Linked DNA regions of Anolis sagrei. The protein of the gene in region 2 interacts with the protein of the main gene of each other region in a biochemical or structural test. Links are inferred from orthologs where the notes say so. Each region holds a gene or a part of one and is shown on either strand. Other genes may lie near its edges. The genes, in order: GAS6 and TYRO3.

Region 1 (12,247 bases), on a different chromosome or scaffold from region 2:
GCTTACTATAGGGTCACCATAAATTGGAATCAACTTGAAGGCGCTCAACAACACAAACTCTATTACGAATTACTGCAGCAAAGTTGTATACCTGGATTGCATTGAGATTTTTAATCAACTAAATATGGCATTAACAGTAATATTAAAAAATAAGTTAGGACTACAAATATTAGAAAAGGTAATTTATGGCAGCAACGAGTTTAATATGTATGCTCATCTATTTAACGTATTCTTTTATACAGCAGAGATAAAAACAACGTATACTAGAACCTGTCTCTTTCTGCTTCAACCCAACTTGGAGTCTATTTTCAAAAGTTCAAAATAAATTCCACAATAAGAATGCTTTTGCTGTTGATTCTTATTGTTTTGCAACATTTCCTTGTGCTCTGACAGGGCTGTGTTGTAAGCTTATTAAAAGTATACATGACATGACATGTTTTGCTTTGAATACAAAACATTTGCTCTTCTAACATAAGGGAGCCAAGTCCCTCCTGTTCCCAGTACTTTTGACCTAAATAGCACTCATTCTACCAGCCAGCACCCCATCAAATCATTAACGGGAACGTGCAGCTCTATGCAGAATCACCAGTCAATTTCTCCTCCAGGAAAATTTCCCCTAAACTAATGCCAGATAATCCCTGCAATAAAAGAGCCTGTTTAAAACAGCACATCAAAAAGATGCAAGCAAATCAGAAATAACACTCAAGCAATCACTGAAATAGAAATATACATATATGTTGAAGTACCAGACACTCATGAGAGGAAATGTGATGTAATGGTTTGAGTCTTGAACTAAGACACTGGGAAACCAGGTTTAATTACTGCTCAGAAGCACACTAGATGACTTTGGACAGGTCACACTCTCTATACATCTTGCAGCGGTTCCCAACCTTTGGTCCTCCAGGTGTTTAGGACTTCAGCTCCCACAATGCCTAACAGCTGGTAAGCTGGCTTGGATTTCTGGGAGTTGAAGTCCAAAACACCTGGAGGACCAAAGGCTGGGAACCACTGCAAGGGCAAATCCACTCTGAACAATGCCTGCAAAGGAAACTCCACAATGTATTTTACTTGGGGTTGTTACAATCAGAAATAACTTGAAAGAACACAACAGCGAAGTCAGACAATTTGAGCACCAAAGGCTAATACAAGTTTGCTAATGAATTATTTAAAATTTAAGTACCTTCTAGGTTATTCAGAGTTTCAGCACTAAACAGCCTTGACTTCTAACCACCTCAGATTCATTCTACCTAATGATCAATTTATTAACTGCATACATTTTACCTCCAACCAAATATTTATCCAAAAATAGCACCAAATTCCCCTAATCCAAAACAAGACTTTTGATTGCTTGCCTAAATTATGTCAGCTGTTTTCAGCAGCTAACATCAGCAAAATCTTTACACTTGCAAAGACTTTAAATATTTAAGTGGTGAGGGAGAAGATGTAAAGAGGTGGAAAATAAAGACATCTCCGCACCCCCATCCTTATTAAATGCTATGCTGTACAAACCAAGTCCTCCTCCCGCTTCTCCCCACCCCATGCTGGGAAATTCCAGCAACTCAATTCTGGCTTGCACTAGGATTTGTCTTTTCAAAGGCATTTTTAAAAAAAAAACCTGACTCCTGTGTTGAAGATTAATACTTAGTTCAATGTAAACAACCCCTCCTCCCACCTTTGCCTTTTGCTACTCTTCCTTTCTTGGACTGGCAATCCAAATCCAATCCTGTTAAATGAAGTGCTGGTTAACCCTCTGCGGTTGGAGATATTTATCTCAAGAGCTCCACCTCCTCCAAACAACTTCCCCAGCTGTGCAAGCAGCTGGCGGCCTCATTCCTTCTCCTCCTCCTCCTGCCTCTGCAGGACTTGGCATTGCCCATCACATACATACATATACACACAGAGAGAGATAAACTGAATGCAAATATATGAGGATGGGTCAACAAGTAATGCCTCCATTACTTTAACTTTTATTTCTTTCACAGCTACAGGACTATCTAAGCATGATATGATAGAGGTAACCTTACTCTACGGATACAGTCTTTTCTTTTTCCAATTGACTGATTAGAACTATGAATCTGAAGCTAAAAGAGTCATTTAATTTCTGGCAAAAGAAGGTTGTGAACCTAAGGAAATCCGTAACTGCTTGAAGGATGTTTATGGGGATGATGTAATGGACATCAGCAATGTGCGACCTCTGAAAAACAACCTACATGGTTTCAAATTCAATGACCTGAATGACATTCAAACAGCTTTACAATCATGGGTCAGGAAGAAAAACCCTGATTTTTTTCCAAAACGGTTTTGATGCCTGGTTTAAACAATGGTGCAAATGTGTACTAACTGAAGGAGACTATGTTGAACGATAGTTTTGAGTAGAAGATAGTTCAGGCTATGATCTATAGTGACTTCTGCTGTTCTATGTTCATTCAAAATATTTTTATGACACGGGAGGCAAAACTTTTTGACCCAACCATGTATAGTGTATAGTATAGTGTGGATTGAGGATTATTTTTATTTTGATGCAGCACATTCTGTGTGCAATGCATAGCTGGATACAAAAAGGTTGGTAAAGCTGGTGGAGAGGGTTTTGAGGGAAAACTTGAATTTCTAAATGCTTGTTGAAAATGACTATCTGAACAGAAATTGCTCTGCATTTGGCTGCCAAGTATTGAAATTGTGAGCAAGTTGTAAAACTTAATTTTGAAGGATTTAAATCAGGCATGAGCAAACCTGGGCCCTCCAGTTGTTTTGGAATTCAACTCCCACAATTCCTAACAGCCTACCTGCTGTTAGGAATTATAGAATAATGGAGTTGGAAGAGACTTTGTGTGCCATCCTGTCCAACCCCTGCCAAGAAGCAGGAAAATGGTATTCAAAGCACCCCCGACAGATGGCCATCTAGCCTCTGATAAAAGCCTCCAAAGAAAGAGCCTCCACCACAGTTTGGGGCAGGGAGTTCGACTGCTGAACAGCTCTCACAGTTAGGAAGTTCTTCCTAATGTTCAGGTGGAATCTCCTCTCCTGTAGTTTGAAGCCTTTGTTCCACATCCTAATTTCCAGGGCAGCAGAAAACAAGCCTGCTCCCTCCTCCCTATGACTTCCCCTCACATATTTATACATGGCCCTCATCATGTCTCCTCTCAGCCTTCTCTTCTGCAGGCTAAACATGCCCAGCTCTTTAAGCCGCTCCTCATAGGGCTTGTTCTCCAGATCCTTGATCATTTTAGTCACCCTTCTCTGGATACATTCCAGCTTGTGAACATCCCCCTTAAACTGCGGTGCCCAGAACTGGACACAGTATTCCAGATGTGGTCTGTCCAAGGCAGAATAGAGGGGTAGTATGACTTCCCTGGATCTAGACACTAGACCCCTATTGATGCGGGCCAAAATCCCATTGGAATTGTGGGAGTTGAGTCCAAAACACCAGGAGGGCCCAAGTTTGTTCATGAACATGCAGGTGTTGAGTGAAAGAAAACTATCTGCCACTGCATTCTGAGGAGGAGTCAGTGGTTTCCACCTGACTGGCAAGGAGAGGGTGGGGGAAAGGTGAAGAACTCCTGATGTGAAATGACATCAACTCCCATGGTTGCATAGGATTGAGGCAAAGCGCTGTGGAGGTGCATTCCCTGTCTGTCAGGTGCATGCCCTGCCTCCCGCCCTGGCTCTCACCGTCTCGGGGTCGTTCTCGAAGACCTCCCGGGCCTCCTCCTTGTTGCAGAGCTCCTCCACGCACTCGCGCTCCAGGTGGCCCTGCTTGGTCTCCTCGAAGATCTGGTAGGCGCGGCGGGGCCTCTGGCGCAGGAACTGGGACGCCTCCGCCCGGTCCCTCAGCACCGAGGTCGCTGCGAGACCCCCAGGAAACAGGGCAGGAGAGGAGAGAAAAGGGGAGCGAAGGGCTCTTTCAATGCAAGGCGGCCACTTTGGGAGCCCCTTCCCCTTCCTCGCTCCCTCCCTCCTTCCTTCCGCGGTCCAACTCGAATGGAACAAAGAGCGGAGGGGAGCCGGCCTCGCACTTCCCCAGAGGTCAAGCGCGCCCTTCCTTGTCGGGGTCATTGTTTACATTCAAAGTCCTCCTTGGGCACTTGGGGCTTCCTTCCTTCCTTCTTCCCCACTCAGCGCTCTTTCCCCCCTCAGGGACCCCCAAGAAACGTCCCTCAAGCCCAGCATTGCCCTCACAATGACATCCCCGCGCCCCTTTTCCCCACTGAGGTCACCTTTTGGGAGGGGAAATGGTACAGCCGACCCTTCGAGCCCAATTAGAGCGGAAGGGCGCAAGAGGAGAGTACGGGGGGGGGGGGATGGATGGGGTTCTGAGCCTTTCTCCTGAGAGAAAGCGCACCCCTTTATTTAAGGGCAAATGGTCAAGCCGACCCTGAAAGCTCCTTCGGAGCGGAAAGGCGCAAGAAGGAAGGGGGGGGGGGGGGAGAGAGAGAGAGAGAGAGAGAGAGAGAAAGTCTTCGCGAATAAGCCACCCTGAGCTTGAGAGACAGGGCTGAAGGGAGGATGCCCTGACCTTGAAGGAAAGGCAGTTTACAGGCACACGGGAGGCTTCTCTCGCTCTCCACGCAAGAGGCTGCGTGGAGTGTCAAAGAAGATGTCTCTCGGTCCACAAAGGGGAGGAAGGTGGGAGTGGGAGCGGGGTTATCCTCCAAGGAGAGAATGGCGGTGGAGGGGGGAAGGAGGGGAAAGGCAAGGCAAGGCAAGGCAAGGGCGGCCCGCCGGGCTCCCTCCGGCCGTGGCGAGGCTGCTACTCACTCTGCGAGGAGTCGGTGGCCAGCAGGACCAGCAGCAGGGCAGCAGCCGCGGGAGCCGGCGGAGAGGGCTGCATGATGCCGAGAGGCTGGAGCTGGGTCTGCGCCCTCTGAGAGGAGCCGGGCTTCCTGGCAGAGGAGGAGGAGGCAGGAGAAGAGGAGGAGGAGGAGGAGGAGGAGGGAGCGCCCACACTGCGGGACTCAGCCGAGAGCAGCGGGGAAGGAGAAAGAAAGGGCGCCCTCCCTCCCTCCCTCCCTCCACTGGGCAGAGATCAAGGAGACTGGAGGGCTGGCTTTATCCTGGAGGGACGTTGCCCTCCTTTGTGAGTTCCCTTTGCCTCCCTCTGAGGCTGAGAGAGTGGGACTCGCCCACTCTCACCCAGTAGGTTTCCAGGGCCAGGCTGGCCACCAAATTACTGGTCAACTGGGTTATTTTTGGGGCTATATGGCCATGCTCTAGAAGCATTCTCTCCTGACGTTTCGCCTGCATCTATGGCAGGCATCTTCAGAGGTTGTGAGGTCTGAAGGAAACTAGGAAACTTGGGTTTCTAGTGTTCCCTCACTTATCGTGGGTGTTATGTTCCAGGATCACCCGCGATAAGTGAAAATCTGCAAAGTAGGGATGCTATATTTATTTTAATATTTACCGTGTTCCCTCACTTATTGCGAGGGTTACGTTCCAGGACCACCCGCGAAAAGTGAAAATCTGTGAAGTAGGGACGCTATATTTATTTTAATATTTACAGTGTTCCCTCACTTATTGCGAGGGTTACGTTCCAGGACCTCCTGAAAAAGTGAAAAACCACGATGTAGGACACTATATTTATGTTAATATTTATACATTATTTTAATAGTTATACCCTATTTTAAGTCTTTATAAATGTAAAATAAAGTGAAGGAAAAGCCCTTCGAGGCTGGAGGGAGGGAGGACTGAGGAGGGAAAGTGCTTCGGAGAGCGGCAGCAGCAAAAACCTGCGAAACAGCAAAAATACCATAGTGTATAAGTGTGTGGGGAGGGTTTATAAAGACTTAAAATTGTGTGTAACTACTGAAATTATGTATACAGTGTTCCCTCACTACTTCGTGGTTCGCTTTTAGCAGACTCGCTGTTTCACGGATTTAAAAAAATATTAATTAAAACCGCAAATTAGTGAGTCCGTTAAAAGTGAACCGCAAAGTAGCGAGGGAACACTGTATACATTAATTCAGTAGTTATACACAATTTTAAGTCTTTATAAACCCTCCCCACACATTTATACACTACAGAACACTTTTCCTTTACCTTAGAAACAAAATCCTTCAGTCACTTTAGTCGAGCAGCAACTTTTAGACCAGCCCCTCCTAGGTGTGGCTCCGCCCACTCCTCTCTCCCCCCTCCCCTCTCTCTCTCACTCAATCACTTTGCCTTCTCTTTTATCTCCTCTTTCCCCTCCCTTTCTCCCTCCCTTTGCACACCACACTTCCTGCTGGCTCCTCCTCTCCTTCCCCTCCTCCTTTCTTGCTCACACACCTTCTCCCTCTTCCTCCTTCCCCCACCCCGCGGCTCCCCCCACCCGCCTCCCTGTCAGTGCAATGTCTGTGCCGGGAAACATGGCATCAGAGGGAATAATTTTAACCAACCACGACTACCAAATCCACATGGGGGTCCTCACAGGTAATGGGTGAGCCTCAGGGCTGAGAGGGTGCATGGAAGTTGCAAGTGAGAAGGAAAGGAAGTTGCGAGGGAGAATATTTAAAATAATTTCAATAAATATTTTAATTCATATTTATTGAAAAACCGCAAAACAGCGAGTTCGCAAAAAGCAAAGTAGCGAGGGAACACAGTATATATCTGTGGAATGTCCAGGATGGGAGACAGAACTCGTTTCAGTCCAAAGCAGTCTGAGAGGGTGAGACAAGAAGAATTCAAAAAGTCCTTTCCAAAATGGTCAAAGCTAAGTCATCTCACCAACAACTAGGTTGCAAGCCAAAACCTATTCCACACACCTAACTTAAGGCACACCTCCAGAGATACAGGCTGTAACAGTTTCACTAATGTTGCTTCCAGCACCTAACTGACCCAGTCTCCAGCTACTTACACCACTTTCCCAAGTGATCCCAATCTTGGCCCTCCTCACAGCCAACTGCCTGGGTCCCTCCAGTTGAATGGCATCAGTTCTTAATTGCAGGAGTCCCTGGTGGCACAATAGGTTAAATCCTTGTGCCAGCAGGGCTGCTGACAGAAAGGTTTGAATCTGGGGAGCGGGGTGAGCTCCTGTCTGTCAACTCCAGCTCCCCGTTCGGGGACATGAGAGAAACCTCCCATAGAATGGCAATACATTTGAGTGTCCCCTGGGCAACGTCCTTGCAAACTGCCAATTCTCTCACAGCAGAAGCGACTTGGGAGTTTCTCAAGTCGCTCCTAACACAGGGAAAAAAATGTTGCTTCTAGCACCTAACTGATCTGGTCTCCAGCTACTTATGCGACGTTCCCAAGTGATCCCACTGTTAGCCCTTCTCTCAGGCAACTGATTCGGCAAAATTTCAGGAGACAATGCTTCTGGGACATGGCCATACAGACCGGAAAACTCACAGCAACCCAGTCTACCCTGCAGAGAGTGCTTTATTGCTTAACAAACAACAAAAAGCAAAAAACAATCAAGGTATTGCTTTCCTTTTCAGAACTGAGCACCAGCTTTATAAAGTCCTGCCTGTAAACTCTCGTTCAGGAAAGAATATCATCCCAATTAGTTATTAGTTCATCAATCATACATCTCAATCCTTTGTTCTAATGTCTATCAATTTTAAGAGGTTCAATTTACTTTCACTCATCTGTTCTAATTAATAGCAGTTTTTTATTGCTTCCTCCTAGCCAAACATTTTGGACCAATGGTCTCCTCTAGAGCCCACAATATTATGTCCCATGTTTGCACTTATGGCATGACTTTGAAGGAATTATAACACCAGCGCTCTGGAGGCATAAAAAGCAGATGGGAAGGGAAAGTGGAGGTAATCAATTACCTGTCCCAATAGTTTAATTAGCCCTCAGCCACCCAGCTATGCCCTTGATGCATCCTTATTTTAAGTATGCTTCCATGCAGACCAGTACCTACAATGTACTTTGCATTCCATAGAGCTGTTTTCTCCATATAATGTTATTTAGATGTAATGCTTGCTTAAGCACATTAAGGAATTTACCTTGGACCTAATGCATTTTAAACTGGTGGGGATGAAAGACAGGGCCTTCTCAGTGGTGGCTTCTTGTCTACGGAACGCTCTCCTCAACGAAATTAGATCAGCGCCCTCCCTCTTGGCCTTCAGGGGGGAAAAAGCAAAAACATGGTGGTGGAACCAAGCATGCAGGATAAGAAACAAACATGGAGTATGTGCAATTGTTACTCCGAACGCTGAGCTCAGGATTAGCCTACTACTGTGTTTATGGTGTTGCTGTGTATTGATGATTTAATTTGTAATTGCTTAATTGTTTTTATATATGTATGTATATGTGACAAGGCATCGAATTGTGCCTTTCTCTGTAAGCCGCCCTGAGTCCCCCCTTGGGGGTGAGAAGGGCGGGGTAAAAGTGACGGAAATAAATAAATAAATAAATAAATAAAATTTGATACTGGAACGGCCTGGACCATGCTTTTGAATCATGTGATTTTAATGTTTATATTAATATGTTTTTAATCCCTTGTTTTAATGTTTAAATGTAGTTACATTTTATGATTTAATTGATAGTTTTATGTTACTGTTGTTTTATGTTACGTTGTTCATGTTTTCTAAGGACTTGAATTTTGTTGTGAATATGTTGGAAACCGTCCCTCCAAGCAGTATATAAATGAAGTTAATAATAAATAAATAGACTTTAATTTGTACTGAAGCATGCTTTGGCGGCATGCATTTTCTAGCCACCACATCTTGGTGTCAGCTTGAAGCTGCATTAAATTGTCAGTGTAGATGTGCCCAAAGCCAGCCTATGGCAATGGGGCTGTTGTTTATGTTCCAAATTCTTTTTGAGCCATTGAGCTGTTTGTCTTAGGTGCTGGAAATGCTTGCCCTCTGGCATTAGGGATTTATTTACGGGTGTGCCTTTGTGTGTCTTCCTTTCCCTCCAGCTGCTTCAGATTTGAGAACTTCCTTTCGTGGATTTTAGTTACTTGAATATAGCATTTACTCACTTGGGAATTAGCCACCTATGTTGGACCATGCATTAAAAAAGACTATTGCATACCTTGGAAGCTGTATCAAGCCAGTCCACAAGGGGTGGGACATCATATACCATGGAGTATACAGGAAATAGTATGTTATTGTTATTATAGAAATATCAAATATGCTGTAATGTAGTCAGTTTAAAAATATATACAAATTCAAATACAAATCTTAAATGTATCTCTATTGCAGGTAAGTATATACATAATTGGGATACATAAATCTCCTCTTAATAGGCAATTTAGAAGTCAATTATACTGACAAGATCTGTCTAATAGTTCAAAAAGTCAATTTTAATTTACTTCAAGAACCGTTTGTTACATGAAGAGTTGTCGTAATGTCAGAAAAGAGTTCTAAGAGGTTACTACAAGGTATCCCGGGTAGTATTTCCTTGTTTTGGCGTTTGTTGTGGGTACACCTTCCTCAGGTAATCCTTTCTTCTCTATTCCTTCCAGTGTTGTTTGGTATTACAATAGGAGTTAAGCCTCTGGCACTAGAAGAAGGCCCTGTCACTTGTACTCACCAACCTAACTTCACAAAGATCTCAAATTTTTGGGAGGCTCAGAGGGAAGGAGATAGCAGATCTATTATTGTGGCCCACAACCCTTTCAGGGCTCTGTAGGTTAAAGCCAGTACTTTAAATTGAAGTCAGAAGCAAATTGGAAGCCCCTGCAGTCCATGTAAGATCAATGTTATTTGATTACTATACTTGTATATAACTGATATGAGTCAGGCTGCTGCATATTTTGCTCTCTGTTTCACCTCCTCCAAGGTGAACTGAACCACCTAAATTGGGCTCTACAGGCCAATGAATGTTTCACCACAGACATCCAAAGAGCTGCAAGACAAACATCCCCACCCCCGGAGGAAAAGTGTTCTTTCTTACCATACATCAAGGGAACCACAGATCATGTAGGGAAGCTGATGAAGAAACACAACTTACAAACTATCTACAGACCCGCTAAGAAAATCCAGCAAATGTTCAAGCAAAGGACAAGAGGGATCCTCTCAACTCTGCAGGAGTCTACTATATACCATGCAGCTGTGGACAAATCTGCATAGAGACCACCAAACGCAGCATTGCCCAAACACAGATCAAGGAACATGAAAGGCACTGCAGACTACTTCAACCGTAGCAGAGCACCTGATGAACCAACCTGGACGCAGCATGTTATTAGAGAACACAGAAATGCTGAACCACTCTAACAACCACCATGTCAGGCCACACAGAGAAGCCATTGAAATCCACAAGCAATGTGGACCATTTCAACAGAAAGGAAGAAACCATAAAAATGGACAAAAATCTGGCTACCAGTATTTAAAAAACTCCAAAATCAGGACAGTAAATGAAGAACAACACTAAAAAGCAGGGGAAATCTAGAGAAGAAACAATCTGGGCCAGCTAATCACCTCCCAACAAAGGATGCTTCCAGGCAGTAAGCAGCCAGGCTTTGAAGCTGCAAGGACATTCAATGCTAATCAAGGTGACTAATTGCAACATTCACACCTGCATCAAACAGACAAGAGTTCTTTCTCCCACCTTGGACATCCTCATTTGCCTAGTTTCCAAGAGACCTCACAACCTCTGAGGATGCCTGTCATAGATGTGGGCAAAATGTCAGGAGAGAATGCTTCTGAAACATGGCCATACAGCCCATAAAACTCACAGCAACCCAGTACTTTGCTCTTGCTGCAGTTTCCAACACTATCAAGGGCATTTCCCATACTGAGGGCACTGCAGTAATCTAACTGGATATTAAAGAATCCTCAACCTAGGTTTGTCCGTCAAGACATATTGTTCCAATTTGGTGCTACAGCCATATGACTACTTTCAAGTAAACTCAAAAGGAATCAGAACTTGAAAAGATTAATTTTGGACCCACATCTCCTAGAATATCCCATGGTTACTTCCCCCACCCCCTTTTCCCCCTGAGTTCTATATAGGGCTTGGGTGCATATTTATTTGAAAATCATTTGGATAATAATACATTTATAAATATTATCTATTAGATAACAAACATCTGTAGCTGGTCCAGGCTTGTACTAGGTCAGCCAGAAACAACCAAATGACACATGAGTGTAAATTGTTGACAGATAAATTATTTTATAAAGGGAAATGCTTTTTAACAGCAATAGCAGAATATTTGAAACATTTATCGTAATGGTAAAACATATAATGGAAAGCTTCTTGAAAACAAAACAAAGAAGCAGTGTTTTTGTTTTTGAGGGAGAAAAACCCAATACAGTACAGTCTGGGAATGTATCAAAATATGCTTTAGAAACATTCCAATCTGGGACTCGCTGCTTTAGTTTTGTAATTGCATTTCCCACCCAGGTGCCAGGAAATGGCGCATGGTTCTCAAAGACAGGAAGTGCTGAACTGTTTTGTCCCCACAGTATGTGCCTTAGTTAATTCTCAGTGTGATTTCCTTTAATTGGAGGTCATATTTGACATTACAAAAATAGCTTTTAAAATCAACCAGGAGACAATCTTGTGCACCTCATTCAGGCAATGATTACAAAGTTATTCTGAATTTCAGAGTATTCATGAGAACCAAGGAATAGGTCTCTTGCACTCCCCCCCCCCGCCCCCATCTTGATTAAATTGGTGCAAGGAAGATATTAAATGTTATAATTCTAAGCATGGAAGTATTGTGGAACAAGTCATAAATATAATGTACTACTCAAAGTCAAATGGAAACATTCCAGTCAATATTTACAATGGTTTTGGTTGCAATCCTGATACCCAGAATAACTAATAAAGTGGATCCATGTACACAAAGTTATTTCTGTGGGGATTTGTAAAAAGGCACCATGATGTGATGGGTTGACTGGAAAGACATGTGTTGGCAGTTGATTGGCTGAGCATGCCAGGAGCCAGAATTCTGATTGGCTACTGTCTCTGGCTTGCTGCTGAGACAAAACAGTTTTAACTGCCACTTTCATTTTGGAGAGTGAAGAGAGTGCTGACTGGAAACAGCCAGGAAGGAAATGGCTGCCAACTCTCTGAAGCCTGATCATTTCTAAGGCATGAAGCATATTTTAAAGACTGTTTAAAAGGACTGTTTATTCCCTCTGTTCTCTGTGTGAATTCAGAGAGACTGCTCTCTATCTATCTATCTATACATACATACATACATACATACATACATACATATGATTGCCCTGTTTGATCTTTTGAACAGAAGTAAAGATATTGTTACTTGTTACACAACCCTGAGTGACATTTTATTATACTGCAGGGTATATTTTAGTTCAGAAACTGTGGTAAAGCTTCTACTTATTTATATCTACACCCCCCCCCC
Region 2 (13,188 bases):
CCCTTCCCACATATAAGACTAGAGGTCACTATTTGAATATGAAAACAAATACAACTGCTGAAGGTCTTAAATACAGTATTTAAAATGCTGGCTGCAAAGCAAACACCAGCATCAAAATATTTCCAGTGGTTCTCGTTATTTCAGATGGTGCTGCTTTAAATGGTGAGCTCTTAAAAACAAATATATGACATCTCATAGCAGTCAAATAAAGGCTTTAGAGTGGAGACAGGGAACCTTTGGACTCCACATGTTGCTGGAACAGAAATCTAAACATACCTGGCCATCAGTTACTTGCCTGACTATTTAAGAAACTGTTGACCTACTCCTTCATGTTATAGTTTGCTAAGCATAGAGAAATCTATCCATTTCCTCACTGAGGATTTCTGAAAAAGCAAGGGATCTACCTATGGAGGGGTTTAGAATAAACTCATGAGAGCATAATTGTGCTAGAAACTCTGCTTAAAAAAACGGAACAGTGCATTCAATCAATAAGCTACTTGAGATGAGAAGGACCACATGTTACTACGGCAGCAAAGTCGTGACTGTACATTCATAGCTGCAGAACCATAGAGCTGCGAATAAGTTTGTTGTTGTCCTGTGTCTTCCAGCCATTTCTGATTTACAGAAACCCTACAGCGACCCTAGTACAGGGTTTTCTGAGGCCATGCGATTTGCCCAGAATCAAATAAGTAGAGGAGAGGAAAGACTTCTATTTAGAGGGCACAGTTCCGAGCAACTATTGTCTCGATTCTAGATATATATTACCAGAAGTGAGGGATTAAATGATAAAATTGTCCTCAAACCACTCATAACATTGAACTGAAGGGGGGTTTTTTTCTAAAGGAAGGGAACATGTTTTTTATAATTAAGTTTTGTAACTTACTCCCGCTACGATTAGCAAGCAAGAAAAGATTTAGGCCAGCATCTCACCAAGAAGTGTGTGTGTGAATGTGTGTGTGAATGTGTGTGTGTGTATTGGGGTGGGGTAACAACTGAACTTAAAATAGCAGCAACCCTCCCTTCATAAGATGTCAATTGTCAATAGCATGGCCATATAGCCCGGAAAACTCACAGCAACCCAGTGATTCTGGCCATGAAAGCCTTTGACAACACAGCAATTGGAATGTTTGTAACCTTTATTCAGAAGTCCAAAATACTCCAGAATTCTCTGCATGGATCCTATATGCCATAGTAGTTGCTTTCTGGTAGTCTAATGGGCAGCGACATGATTTCATGCACAAAATTAAAATTGTGTATAAAATTTCCTCATACGTAGTAGATGTATGGGAAACGTAAGTGAATTTCATGCCCAAGATAGGACACGGTAGGTTCATATATATGCAAATGTAAATGTATATGAAAGAAATCAAAGTCATGTTCAGACTTGGTCCCACCTTGAAGATATCACACAGTACGTGTCTGTGTGTTTATAGATAAAGGTTTCCCCTGACATTAAATCAAGTTGTGTCCGACTCCGGGGGGTGCTGCTCATTTCCATTTCTAAGCCAAAGAGCCAGTGTTGTCTGTAGACATCTCCCAAGATCATGCAGTTGGCATGACTGCATGGAGCACTGTTACCTTCCTGCCGAAGCAGTACCTATTGATCTACTCACATTTGCATGTTTTTGAACTACTAGGTTGGCAGAAACTGAGCCTAACAGTGGGAGCTCACCCTGCTCCCCGGATTTGAACCACCAACCTTTCGGTCAGCAAGTTCAGCAGCTCAGCAGTTTAACCCGCTGTACCACTGGGGGTTCCATACACACACACACACATATACAAATGTATATGAAACATAAACAAGTCTCATGTTTAGACTCAGATTGCACTTCCAAGATATCACACTGGGTGTGTGTGTGTATAGATGTGGTTTCATGTTAAATTCCTTGTTATGTTTTATCTTTTTGGTGTACCTTATACTGATTGGGTTATTACTGTTTTTATATTTTACTAGCTGTGCCCTGCCCTGTGGTGTAGTCCTGTTTGTATTGTTGTTATTTCATAAGCCGCCTGGAGTCCTTCTAGGGCAGGCATGGGCAAACTTTGGCTCTCCAGGTGTTTTGGATTCTAACTTCCACCATTCCTAACAGCTTAAGTGGCTGAGGGGGAAAAGGAAGGGGTCTGGGGCTGTTAGGAATGATGGGAGTTGGAGTCCAAACCATCTGGAGAGCACAAGTTTACCCATGCCTGCCTAGGGAGATGAGGCGGGATATAAATAAAGATATTGTCAAAGGTTTTCATGGCCGGAATCACTGGGCTGTTGTGAGTTTTCTGAGCTGTATGGTCATGTTCCAGTAGCATTCTCTTCTGATGTTGTGAGGTCACAAACTCTGAGGATGCCTGCCATAGATGCAGGAGAAACATCAGGAGAGAGTGCTGCTGGAACATGGCTATACAGCCTGGAAAACTCACAGCAACCCATAAATAAATTTATTATTATTATTATTATTATTATTATTATTATTATTATTATTACAGATACATACATACAATAATGCACACACACACATGCAAATAAAAATGTATACAAAACATAAACAAATTTGATGTATAAACCTGGGGGCCCTCGCCAGATATATTGTTATGTTTGTATGTGTTTGGTTTCAGTTCGTACAGATTGTTACGGCTTTTATAGTTAGCAATGTATCAAGACATATAGTGTGTGTGTATAAGCATTTCGAATAAGGGATAATCAGCCTGTGATAGGAAATCACAGAACAAGAGAGCAGAAGGAGGAAGTCCATTCCTCAGTATACATTGTTATGGCTTTTATAGTTAGTAGGGTCTAAAGACATATAGTGTGTGTATGTGTATTTTGAATAAGGAATGTTCAGCCTGTGATAGGAAATGCCAGAAGAAGAGGGCTGAAGGAGGAAGTCCATTCCTCAATACACATTGTGATGGCTTTTATAGTTAGTAGCATATAGAGATGTATAGTGTGCCTCTGTGTGTATATATAATATATTTATAAGCATTTCGAAGAAGGAATATTCAACCTGTGATAGAAGGAGGTTGAAGAAGGAGGTTGAAGGAGAAAGTCCATTCCTCAATACACACATATACATGTGTGCAAACAAATGTATTTATGTATAGACTTGGAGCCCCTCGCCAGATATATTGTAATGTTTAAATATGTCTGGTTTCAGTTTATATACATTGTTACAGCTTTTATAGTTAGTAGGATATAAAGACACATTGTGTGTATGTAAGCATTTCGAATAAGGAATACTCAGCCTGTGATAGGAAATCACAGAAGAAGAGAGCAGAAGAAGGCAGTCCATTCCTCAACACACACACATATATGTGTAAATATAAATGTATGTATGTATAGACTTGGGGCCCCTGGCCAGATATATTGTAATGTTTGTAGGAGTTTGGTTTCAGTTCATACACATTGTTATGGCTTTTATAGTTAGTAGGGTATAAAGACATATATGTGTGCAGGCATGTAGCTGGGGGGGGGGGGGCTTGAGGGGCTTCAGCCCCCCCCCCCTGAAATTCTCAGGGTGGTCTGCGAGAAGGCCTTGCTGGTACATTATTTAAAGGGTTATGTTTATTCATATCATATCCCATATGCATGGGGGTATTGGGGTAACGATACAAAAGGTTTGCTAGGGTAGACCCTCTTTTTCTCAGACTCACCCCCCCCCCCCCAATCAAACTCAGCTCCCCGCAAATCAAAATCCTGGCTATGGGCCTCTGTGTGTGTGTGTGTGTGTGTGTGTGTATAAATATTTCAAATAAGGAATACTCAGCCTGTCATAGGAAATCACAGAAGAGAGCAGACGGATGAAGTCCATTCCTCAATACACATTGTTATGGCTTTTATAGTTAGTAGGATAATAATAATAATAATAATAATAATAATAATAATAAACTTTATTTATAAAAAAGACATATAGTGTTTGTATAGATAGATAGATAGATAGATAGATAGAGATATATAAGTATTTCAAATAAGGGATTCTCAGCCTGTGATAGGAAATGCCAGAAGAAGAGGGCTGAAGGAGGAAGTCCATTCCTCAATACACATTGTTATGGCTTCTATAGTTAGTAGGGTAGAAAGACATATAGTGTGTGTGTATTTCGAATATGGGATATTCAGCCTGTGATTGGAAATGGGAAGAAGAAGGCTGAGGGAGGAAGTCCATTCCTCAGGAAACAAATCACGCGTGTCACCCCCTGTTTGTCCCACAGACGGAGCAAGAACTGAGCGAGGAGCCCTTGGAACTCTCCTTCGGGGACAAACTTGAGTCGCCTTCAAAGCGGAAGAGGGAAAGGAAGACAGAGGGAAGGGAAGGGGCGAGGGGCGCCCCGACCCGCGCCCGGCCCTGCTGCTGGCCCCGTGTGGTGTCGGTGTGGGGCCCGTCCCCGCCTCCTCCTCCTCCTCCTGCTCTCCTTCCTCCTTGCTGCTTACCTGTCCCCGCGGCGACGTCCCGCCGAAGCAGCAGCGCCCCGAGCAGAGGCGGCAGGAGCAACAGGAGTCCCCGGATCTGCATAGTCTGATTCATCTCCATTTCTTCCACATCATCATCGTTGTCACCATCCTCTCCGCTCACCTCCCAGCCCGGTGCCTTCCTCTCCTCGCGGACACACAAACACACACAGGGAGATTTCCTTTCTTTAAGCAAGGGGGGGGGGGAGAGGAGGAGAGCCCCCAAAGAAAGCCCTATTTGTCCGTGTGTGGAAAGAGAGAGAGAGAGAGCGATCAAGCAAGGCGCAGGGTTTTCTTTCCGCCACACGCCCTCGAAGGAAAGGACCCGATGTGGCCGAGCGGAGAGAGACTCCGATGTTCTCCTCCTCCTCCTCCTCCTCCTCCTTCTTCTCCGCCTCTTCTCCCCTTTCCGAGCCGGGAAGGTCCCCCCCTGCCGGCCTCCTTCCTTCAGTACAAAGGCTCCACTCGGCTCCCTTTCCCTCCTCCTCCTCCTCCTCCTCCTCCTCCTCCTCTTCTTACGCGCGGCGTGGCGCTCGCCTGCCTCCCTCCTCCTCCCTCCTCCTCGGGAAATGGCGCTTTTGGGAGGCCTCCTCGTGACATCACTGGCAGCCTCATAGACACCTCTGCCTCCACGCCATGCCTTGGCCCTCCTCGCCTGAAGTTTTTGAGGGGCCGGGTTGTTTTGTGTCAGGATGCCAGGGCTCTGCCTTATTCAGGTAGAGATGAACCAAACAAACACCCAGTTTGTATCAAACAGTTTAATTAAAACAGCACTTACTTTCTGGCTGTTTTAATAGTCCCAAATATAAAACATAAAGATAGCCTTCTTTGGCGATCCCTCCTTGTCTGAGTAGGATTGCCCTCTAAGATCGGTGTCCTGGCAGTGGGTCCCTAGGTGACTGTGGAGCCCTATTCTTGATCTGCATGTTCTCCCACAGTGAGGGCATCGGTTTCGAGGTGGAAAGCTGTCCTGGTTGGGTTTGGCTTGATGTACCTTTCTCTTGGCCCGTTTCTCTCATTCACCCTCCATTCCTGCCTCTTCAAATTCTACAGCACTGAACGTCACAGCTGACCTCCAGCTGGAGCGCTCAAGGGCAAGGGCTTCCCAGTTCTCAGTGTCTATGCCAGAGTTTTTAAGGTTGGCTTTGAATGCATCTTTAAACCTCTTTTCCTGCCCACCCACATTCCATTTTCCATTCTTGAGCTCGGGGTAGAGCAACTGCTTTGGAAGATGGTACTCAGGCATCCAGACAACATGGCCGGTCCAGTGGAGTTGATGGCGGAGAGCCATCACTTGAATGCTGGTGGTCTTTGCTTCTTCCAGCACGCTGACATTTGCTCACTTGTCTTCCCAAGTAATTTGCAGGATTTTTCAGAGGCAGCTCTGATAGAATAGTTCTAGGAATTGCATGTGACATCTGTTGACAGTCCATGTCTCACAGGCATATAGCAGGGTTGGGAGGACAATAGGTTTATAAACAAGCACCTTGGTATCCCTACAGATTTTTCGGTCCTCAAACACTCTGTGCTTCATTCAGAAAAATGCTGCAGTCGCAGAGCTCACGCAGTGTTGTATTTCAGTGTCAACGTTAACTTTTGTGGAGAGGTGGCTGCCAAGGTAGCAGAAATGGTCAACGTTTTCTAATGTTACACCATTAAGCTGTATTTCTGGCATTGGAGAGGGATTGGCTGGTGACTGCTGGAAGAGCACTTTGGTTTTCTCAATGTTCAATGACAGGCCGAGCTTCTCGTATGCTTCTGCGAAGGCTTGTAGGTCTTTTTCGGAATGCGCACAGACGACATCATCAGCATATTGGAGTTCTATAACAGATGTTGTTGTGACCTTGGTTTTGGCTTTCAGTCTGCTGAGGGTGGATTCATACTATAGTGTGACAAAGGCTGGTGAGGAGGCACATAGTCTCTCTCTGTTCCAGGGAAGGAGGCGCCACCACACTCCATGGCAGCATATTCCACTGCTGAACAGCTCTTACTGTCAAGAAGTTTTCCCTAATGTTTAGTTGGAATTTATTTTCCTGTAGTTTGACACCAGGCTTGTAATCTTCATACACATGGAATAATTGCACAAAATGCATTGCAGGAGCATGCGGGCCTTATTTGGCTTTTGCAAGAGGAATATTAGAGCGTAAGGATCTAGCTTTTTGCCCTTGGCTCTTTCGTACACAGTTTTGTCATTCAGCATTTTTCTTTCTCCCATTTTTCCCCCTGCACAGGCAGTCTTGCATGAACAAGGGCTGGCTCCACCATCAGGCAGAATGAAGCAATGCCTTAAGTGGCAGATACTTGGCTCAGGAGGCGGCAGTGACATCAGGCTGTGGTGTTGTGTGCTGACACCACAACCATTGCCTTTTGTTGGAGCACAAAGGAGTTATACATATGCCACACTGCTATCCGTTACCCGTTATAAGCTAGTGTTCAGCTGAATTGCAATGGTAGATACTGCCACATCCCTAGAGTTGACATTTCAGATAGCACTGCATGGGAATACCTTCAGGCAGCAGATTATCTTACCATTTTACTCAACAAACACTCTTTCATCCTCACCCTTCCCTTGGTACTATGCTCCATAAAAGGCTTTTACGTGTCCAATAAAATATAGGGCCTGGTAATGGTGGGGATCTACCAACAGATACTGAAGAATATGGAATTAAAAAAGAGGAGAAATGGGTAATTTTCTGAAAAATCTAACAGTGCCACAACTCTTTATTTCAAAAATAAGATCCACAATGTTCTATGGACTCATTGTTCTGTGCCTTCAAGGCAGCTCTGACTCTTGGTGACCTTATCAGTTGATTTTCTTGGCAAATTTCATTCTTCGGGGGTTTTTTCATTGCTTTTCTCTCAGGCTGAGAGAGTGTGGAGTAGCTCAAACTTGTTTATTGGGTTTCCATGGTTGAACTGGAATTTGAATTTTGGTCTCCTGGATTCCTGCTTGGTCCTTGAATGTTGGTCCTTGAAGATGATGTTTGTCATTCCTGGATTTGTTGATAATGAATAAGGAGGAATTGGTCACTGGAATCAAAACAGTTGGAACTTAAGGCAAAATTGTGCCTCATATTAAGAAGGACATAGACATGCTGGAACAGGTTCAGAGAAGGGCAGCAAGAATAATAAATATGAAGAAAAAGACATATGAGGAAAGGTTGAAGGAGCTGAGTTTTAGCTTGGTGAAGAGAAGACCGGGGGTGGGGGGGGGGGGGAGTGAACTGACTGCACCCTTCAAATACCTCAAGTCATTACACAGAGAAGGGTCCAAGTTTGTCCTCTGCTGACCCAGAGGGTTGGAAAGGTGTTAGGACAGTAAATTTCAATTGAACATTAGCAGAAATTTATTGACAGTAAGAGTGGTTCAGTAATGTAGCCAATTGCTTGGGGAGGTGATGGGATCTCCTCTGAATGTCTTTAAAGCAGTGGTTCCCAACCCTTTTTGACCAGGGACCACTTGACCAGGGAACACTTTGATGAGGGACGACTCTCCAACATTAGTACCAAAAGGGTTACAAATCAGTTTTTAATCAACTTTAAACTCAGTTTGGTTGTTTGGAGTGCTGCATGGGATATACCACATCAGCTTTAGTTTCTGATACAGAACATATGCCATCCAGTCGTTGCCATCTACTCGCACATAGAAAACCTGATTTAATAAGCCTCAGCACTATAAAAGGGTTTCGTGAGACCATCACTCTTGTTTGCAACGGTGTAGTAATGGTGAGGCCACTGACCATATTTTAGTTCTTGCAGATGATTGGTGGTCCATGGACCACAGGTTGGGAACCACTGCTTTAAAAAAAGGTTAGCTTCTGGGGGTGTTTTAGCTGAAGAACTGCATTTAACGGGATTGGATTCTGTGATTTTATAAACAGCATAACACAACATGTACTTCAATTGCACGATAACCTTATAGCTAGAAGCTGTGACACAAACCCATCACTTGGAAGCAGGATTAGTTAATTAAGTTGGAGCACAAAGGAGCACATCTAGGACCTTAAGATCATCTGGGGATGTCCTGCTCTCATTACTGCCTTCGTCACAAGTATGTTTGGCGGAGACAAGAGACAGAGCCTTCTCGGTGGTAGCCCCTCAGCTGTGGAATGTCCTCCCTATAGATATTAGATCGGCCACCTCCCTTTTAACATTCCGGAAAAAAGTCAAGATGTGGCTTTTTGAACAAGTGTTTGCAAATGCAGAGTAACTGACATAGGAACTACACAATGAGTCTGGACAGCGTTAGGAGGCATTTTGCATTTTTATTTTATTGATTTGTTTAGTTTTTATTATATGTTATGTTTTTAACTGTATTTATGACATTGTAAGCATTGAATTTTGCCCTGTTAACCGCCTTGAGTCGCCTACGGGCTGAGAAAGGCAGTAGACAAATACAGCAAATAAATAAATAAGTGGCGTGCCTTTCTCTGGAATCACAACTTTGTCCATGAAAGCGTGGACCATAATGCATTTGGGAGACATGGAGGTACCACAAAATTCAAGGCATGAGAAATTATACCTGCCCCATGTTTCTGTGATGGGTAAACACACAACACACTTAGAAAAAAAAGGAATAATAATGCCCGCCCCCTCTCACCAGTACACACAGATGTACCTTTGCATACATTAACATGTAGGGCTTACGCAAAACATTTTTTCTGCCTGGGGCCGAAGAGCAAAGAGTGTTTCACTTGTTCTGTTGAAGTGCATAATTGAACCAATAAACGTTGGTATTTGTGGCAAGAAACCCTATAAACACCTTTCCTTTCATAAAAAATACAGTAATAATTAAACCGATTTTCTGTTCTTGATCCCAAATCAGTTACCCAAAAAGGGCTGTCTTACTTAGATTAACTCTGGTGCCTGCCTATCCTTATTGACAGATAGCTATCCACTGATAACATTTCTCCTTGGCTTCTTCTCACCAGTGTCTCTTGATCCTATCTCTGTGCTAGTAACTGATTCATTTATTCCCTGTAATGATTATAGGCTTTATACAAACACGATTAAAATAAATTGAGTAACATTGTGATGTATAATTGTTCTGCAATGTGCACATAGCTGAAAGTAAGCTTTCTCCAATTCCATGGGATTTGTTTCCACATAATCAAAAACAAACACAACTGAATAAAGAATACTGAATTTTCCAGTTCCGTGTTGGCTGGGAGCTTCTATATCAGCGGTTGGTAAAACCGTTCCAGGTTTTGGTTGTAATTTTACACAAAACAGCTTAGTTTCCTCCTTTACAGTTTGGGCTAAATCTCAAAGCAAGTTCACAGCCCTGCCGACATGGAAGCTGTCATTTGATGCTGCCAGTTTCCTCGCGTATGAAGCTTATGATTTCATCATTGTAATTCTCACTGCTTCACATATAAAGCTTATGATTTCGCCTTTCTAGTAATAGGATCCTGGTTAACTATTATTACATAAAACCCCACCCTGCAATTTTCACTTTCTAGAGGGTAAGGGTGGGTATGTTAAGATACTCTTATCTGAGTTCCTGAAAAGATTGAGTGCATGTGTGCTTAAAAAAAACCTGAAAACAACAGTTGTGATACATACTTACAACTGGACTTTGACTCTATAACTCCCAGATAACTACACATGCCACTACTGATTGTTTTCACTAGTTAAATAGCATTTGTTGCTTACATTAGTGGTTCTCAACCTTCCTAATGCTGCAACCTTAACATAGTTCCTCATATTGTGTTGACCCCCAACCATAAAATTATTTTAGTTGCTACTTCATAACTGTGATTTTGCTACTGTTATGAATCGTAATGTAAATATCTGAGATGCATGATGTATTTTCATTCACTGGACCAAATTTGGCACAAATACCTGATACACCCAAATTTGAATACTGGCGGTATTGGAGGGATTAGTTTTGTAATTTGGGAGTTGTAGTTGCTGGGATCTATAGTTCACCTACAACCAAAAAACATTCTGAACTCCACCAATGGAATTGAACCCAACTTGGCACACAGAATTCCTATGACCAACAGAAAATACTGGAAGGATTTGGTGGGCATTGATTTTGAGTTTTGGAGCTGTAGTTCACCTATATCCAGAGACCACTGTGAACTCAAACAATGGTGGATCTGTACCAAACTTGGCATCAGTGCTCAATATTCACAAATGCAAACACTGGTGGAGTTTGGGGAAAATAGACTTGACATTTGGGAGTTGTAATTGCTGGGATGTATAGTTCACCTACACTGGGTTACATGGTGAAACCCCCTGTCAATTGTGTCATGGTTTCTTGTGAGCAGTATGGAATTTCCTATAGGTAGAATACTATGTATGTTATATACCAACTGGGTATATCTGCACTGCAGAATTAATGCAATTTCATACCACTTTAACTGCCATGGCTCAATGCTATGGAATGCTGGGATGTGTGGTTTGGTGAGGCACTAACAGTCTTTGGGAGAGAAGGCTTAAGAGACCTTGAAAAACTAAACTCCATTGAGCCATGGCAGCTAAAGTGATGTCAAACTGCATTAATTCAGATGCACCCAAACCTACATATAGAACAGTGTTGCCGTTGGAATGGAATCAGCGAGAAGTTACCTGTTTTATCCTATATGATGGCTCACTCTGTTGCTATTTGAAGAAAATTACAGGAAACACCCATAAGATAGTTAAACCTAAGGGAAATACAGCAATATGCATTCTCTAAGGTACCCTGCAGTTCCCCACATAGTTCAAGATCAGTATGAACTACAGAAGTGGTAGGGAAAAAGACAAGCAGGAACACTTTACCATCCCACTACTTCACTTTCAAACACACACACATACCACCTACTTCCTTTGCTCCTATTGTGGGGTTTCAAAGATGTGTATGGAGAAACAAAAGACATTTTAAATCCAAAAGATGAGGGGAAGAAGTGGTTTGGAGATGTCTGGTGTGAAAAGCAGAAATGAAAATCAGGAGTAAAGACTATGTAGGGTGCCTTCCCTGTGACTTCTCCACAGTAAGATTGCATCCATACTGTAGAGTTAATGCAGCTTGACACAACAAACTGCCATGAATAAATGCTACGGAGTGACAAAAGTTGTAGGTTTACAAGACCTTTAACTTTCTCTACCAAAGAATGCTGATTCCTTAGCTCTTAGCTATGGCTATTAAAGTGGTGTCAAACTGCATTAATTCTACAGTGTAGATTCACCCCAAATCTCATTCCCAAAATCACTCTCAAAACAGTTGTCAAACTTCTTGTGTAACTCCAACTTCTTGTGTAATTCAAACTATCATGTATCTTGAAATGAGATGTACAGCGAGTACTTGAGCCAATGGCTCTGACTGGCATTCTGGCCTCTGTTCCGCCAAACAATCATCCAAACCCCATTTTTAGGTCTGCCAACTATGTTGGAACGTTGTATTTCTTGTCAGTTGCCATGAGAACAGAAACCCAGCTTCCCCCTTCTTCCCTCTGCCAAGATAGCATCCTGTAAATCTGATGGAAGTTATCTAATTTCTATCAGATTAGCTACGGATTATCCTCTTTTTAAAAAAACTTTCATCTGATTGTTCAAAGCTTTTTTTAAAAAGCTTTCATCTGATTGTTCAATACTTTATCAAGGGCTCAAAGAGCTCATGTTCTTCCTTCATCTGCATGTGGAATGAAGATTGTTTAAGGGTTACCTGGTCTCAAGGTGGCTGCCCAAAATTTCAGGGAATGTTTATGCTTCACTGAGTCATAGACTGAGAAACAAAACACAGGATTAGTGACATTGAAGGAAGTGGACATTTGATAGTTGCGTGAAATAGCTTTTAAAATGGGTGGAGTCCATGGGCTCTGATTTTGTGCCCCCTCCCCCAAATCTTGAATTTTTCTTAAACCTTACATTTTCTGAAAACTGACCAAAGTATAACAAAACCATTCATAAATGTAGGGGTTTGCTTTTCCAAGGCCTGAGCCTTCCAACCCATTAAAAGATAAAAAAATGCCCCCCAAATAAGATGAATTTGAAGCTGAAAATGACCAAGGGTGCATACACTGTAGAATCAATGAAGTTTGACTCCACTTTAATGGCTACGCCTCATTGCTGTAGTACAGTGGTTCCCAACCTTTTTTGACTAGGGACCACTTCACCAGGGACCACTTCACCAGGGACCACTCTCCAACATTAGAACCAAAAGAATTATGAATCAGTTTTTGGTCAACTTTAGATTCGGTTTGATTATTTGGGGTGCTGATTCAGAAAATTGCATTGGATAGACCACATCAGCTCTAGTTTCTGATACAGAGCATATGCCACCCAGTAGTCACCATCTGCTCATCCACCGAAAACCAAATTGAATAAGCATCAGCACTATAAGAAGATTTCACGAGACCAGTCACTCTTGTTGCAATGCTGTAGTAACGGTGAGGCCATTGACCATATTTTTGTTCTTGCGGACCATTGGTGGTCCATGGACCACAGGTTGGGAACTATTGCTGTAGTAGAATCTTGGGAGTTGTAGTTTTACAAAGTCTTTACCTATTCAAAGAGTCGTGGTGAATCACAACTCCCATGATTCCATAGCATTAAGCCATGACAGTTAAAATAGTGTCAAACTGCATTAATTCTATAGTGTAGAATGATACACCCACAGTGTCCCTTCCCAGGCAGCTGAAATGAAATAGTGGTACCTCCAGAGGGGCAGAATTGACCCGCTGCTCCCCAGTTGCTTGCCTTCAGGTTTAAAACTTGGACATTCCTAGCTGGCATTAAGGCTCTCTGAGTTGCTGCAAAGGTTTCTG

The links.
Region 1: the proteins of TYRO3 (region 2) and GAS6 form a complex in vitro, tested with the Homo sapiens proteins (2 studies listed by BioGRID). The link is inferred for Anolis sagrei from reciprocal best matches to the Homo sapiens genes TYRO3 and GAS6.

What each region holds. Positions count from the first base shown.
Region 1 is NC_090023.1:108,204,619-108,216,865, reverse strand, and holds the start of GAS6 (growth arrest-specific protein 6), read right to left. Parts: upstream 4,949-12,247; 5' UTR 4,829-4,948; coding exon 4,756-4,828; intron 3,843-4,755; coding exon 3,670-3,842; intron 1-3,669. UniProt on the Homo sapiens protein: Ligand for tyrosine-protein kinase receptors AXL, TYRO3 and MER whose signaling is implicated in cell growth and survival, cell adhesion and cell migration.
Region 2 is NC_090021.1:288,265,749-288,278,936, forward strand, and holds the start of TYRO3 (tyrosine-protein kinase receptor TYRO3), read right to left. Parts: upstream 4,910-13,188; 5' UTR 4,518-4,909; coding exon 4,418-4,517; intron 1-4,417. UniProt on the Homo sapiens protein: Receptor tyrosine kinase that transduces signals from the extracellular matrix into the cytoplasm by binding to several ligands including TULP1 or GAS6. Regulates many physiological processes including cell survival, migration and differentiation.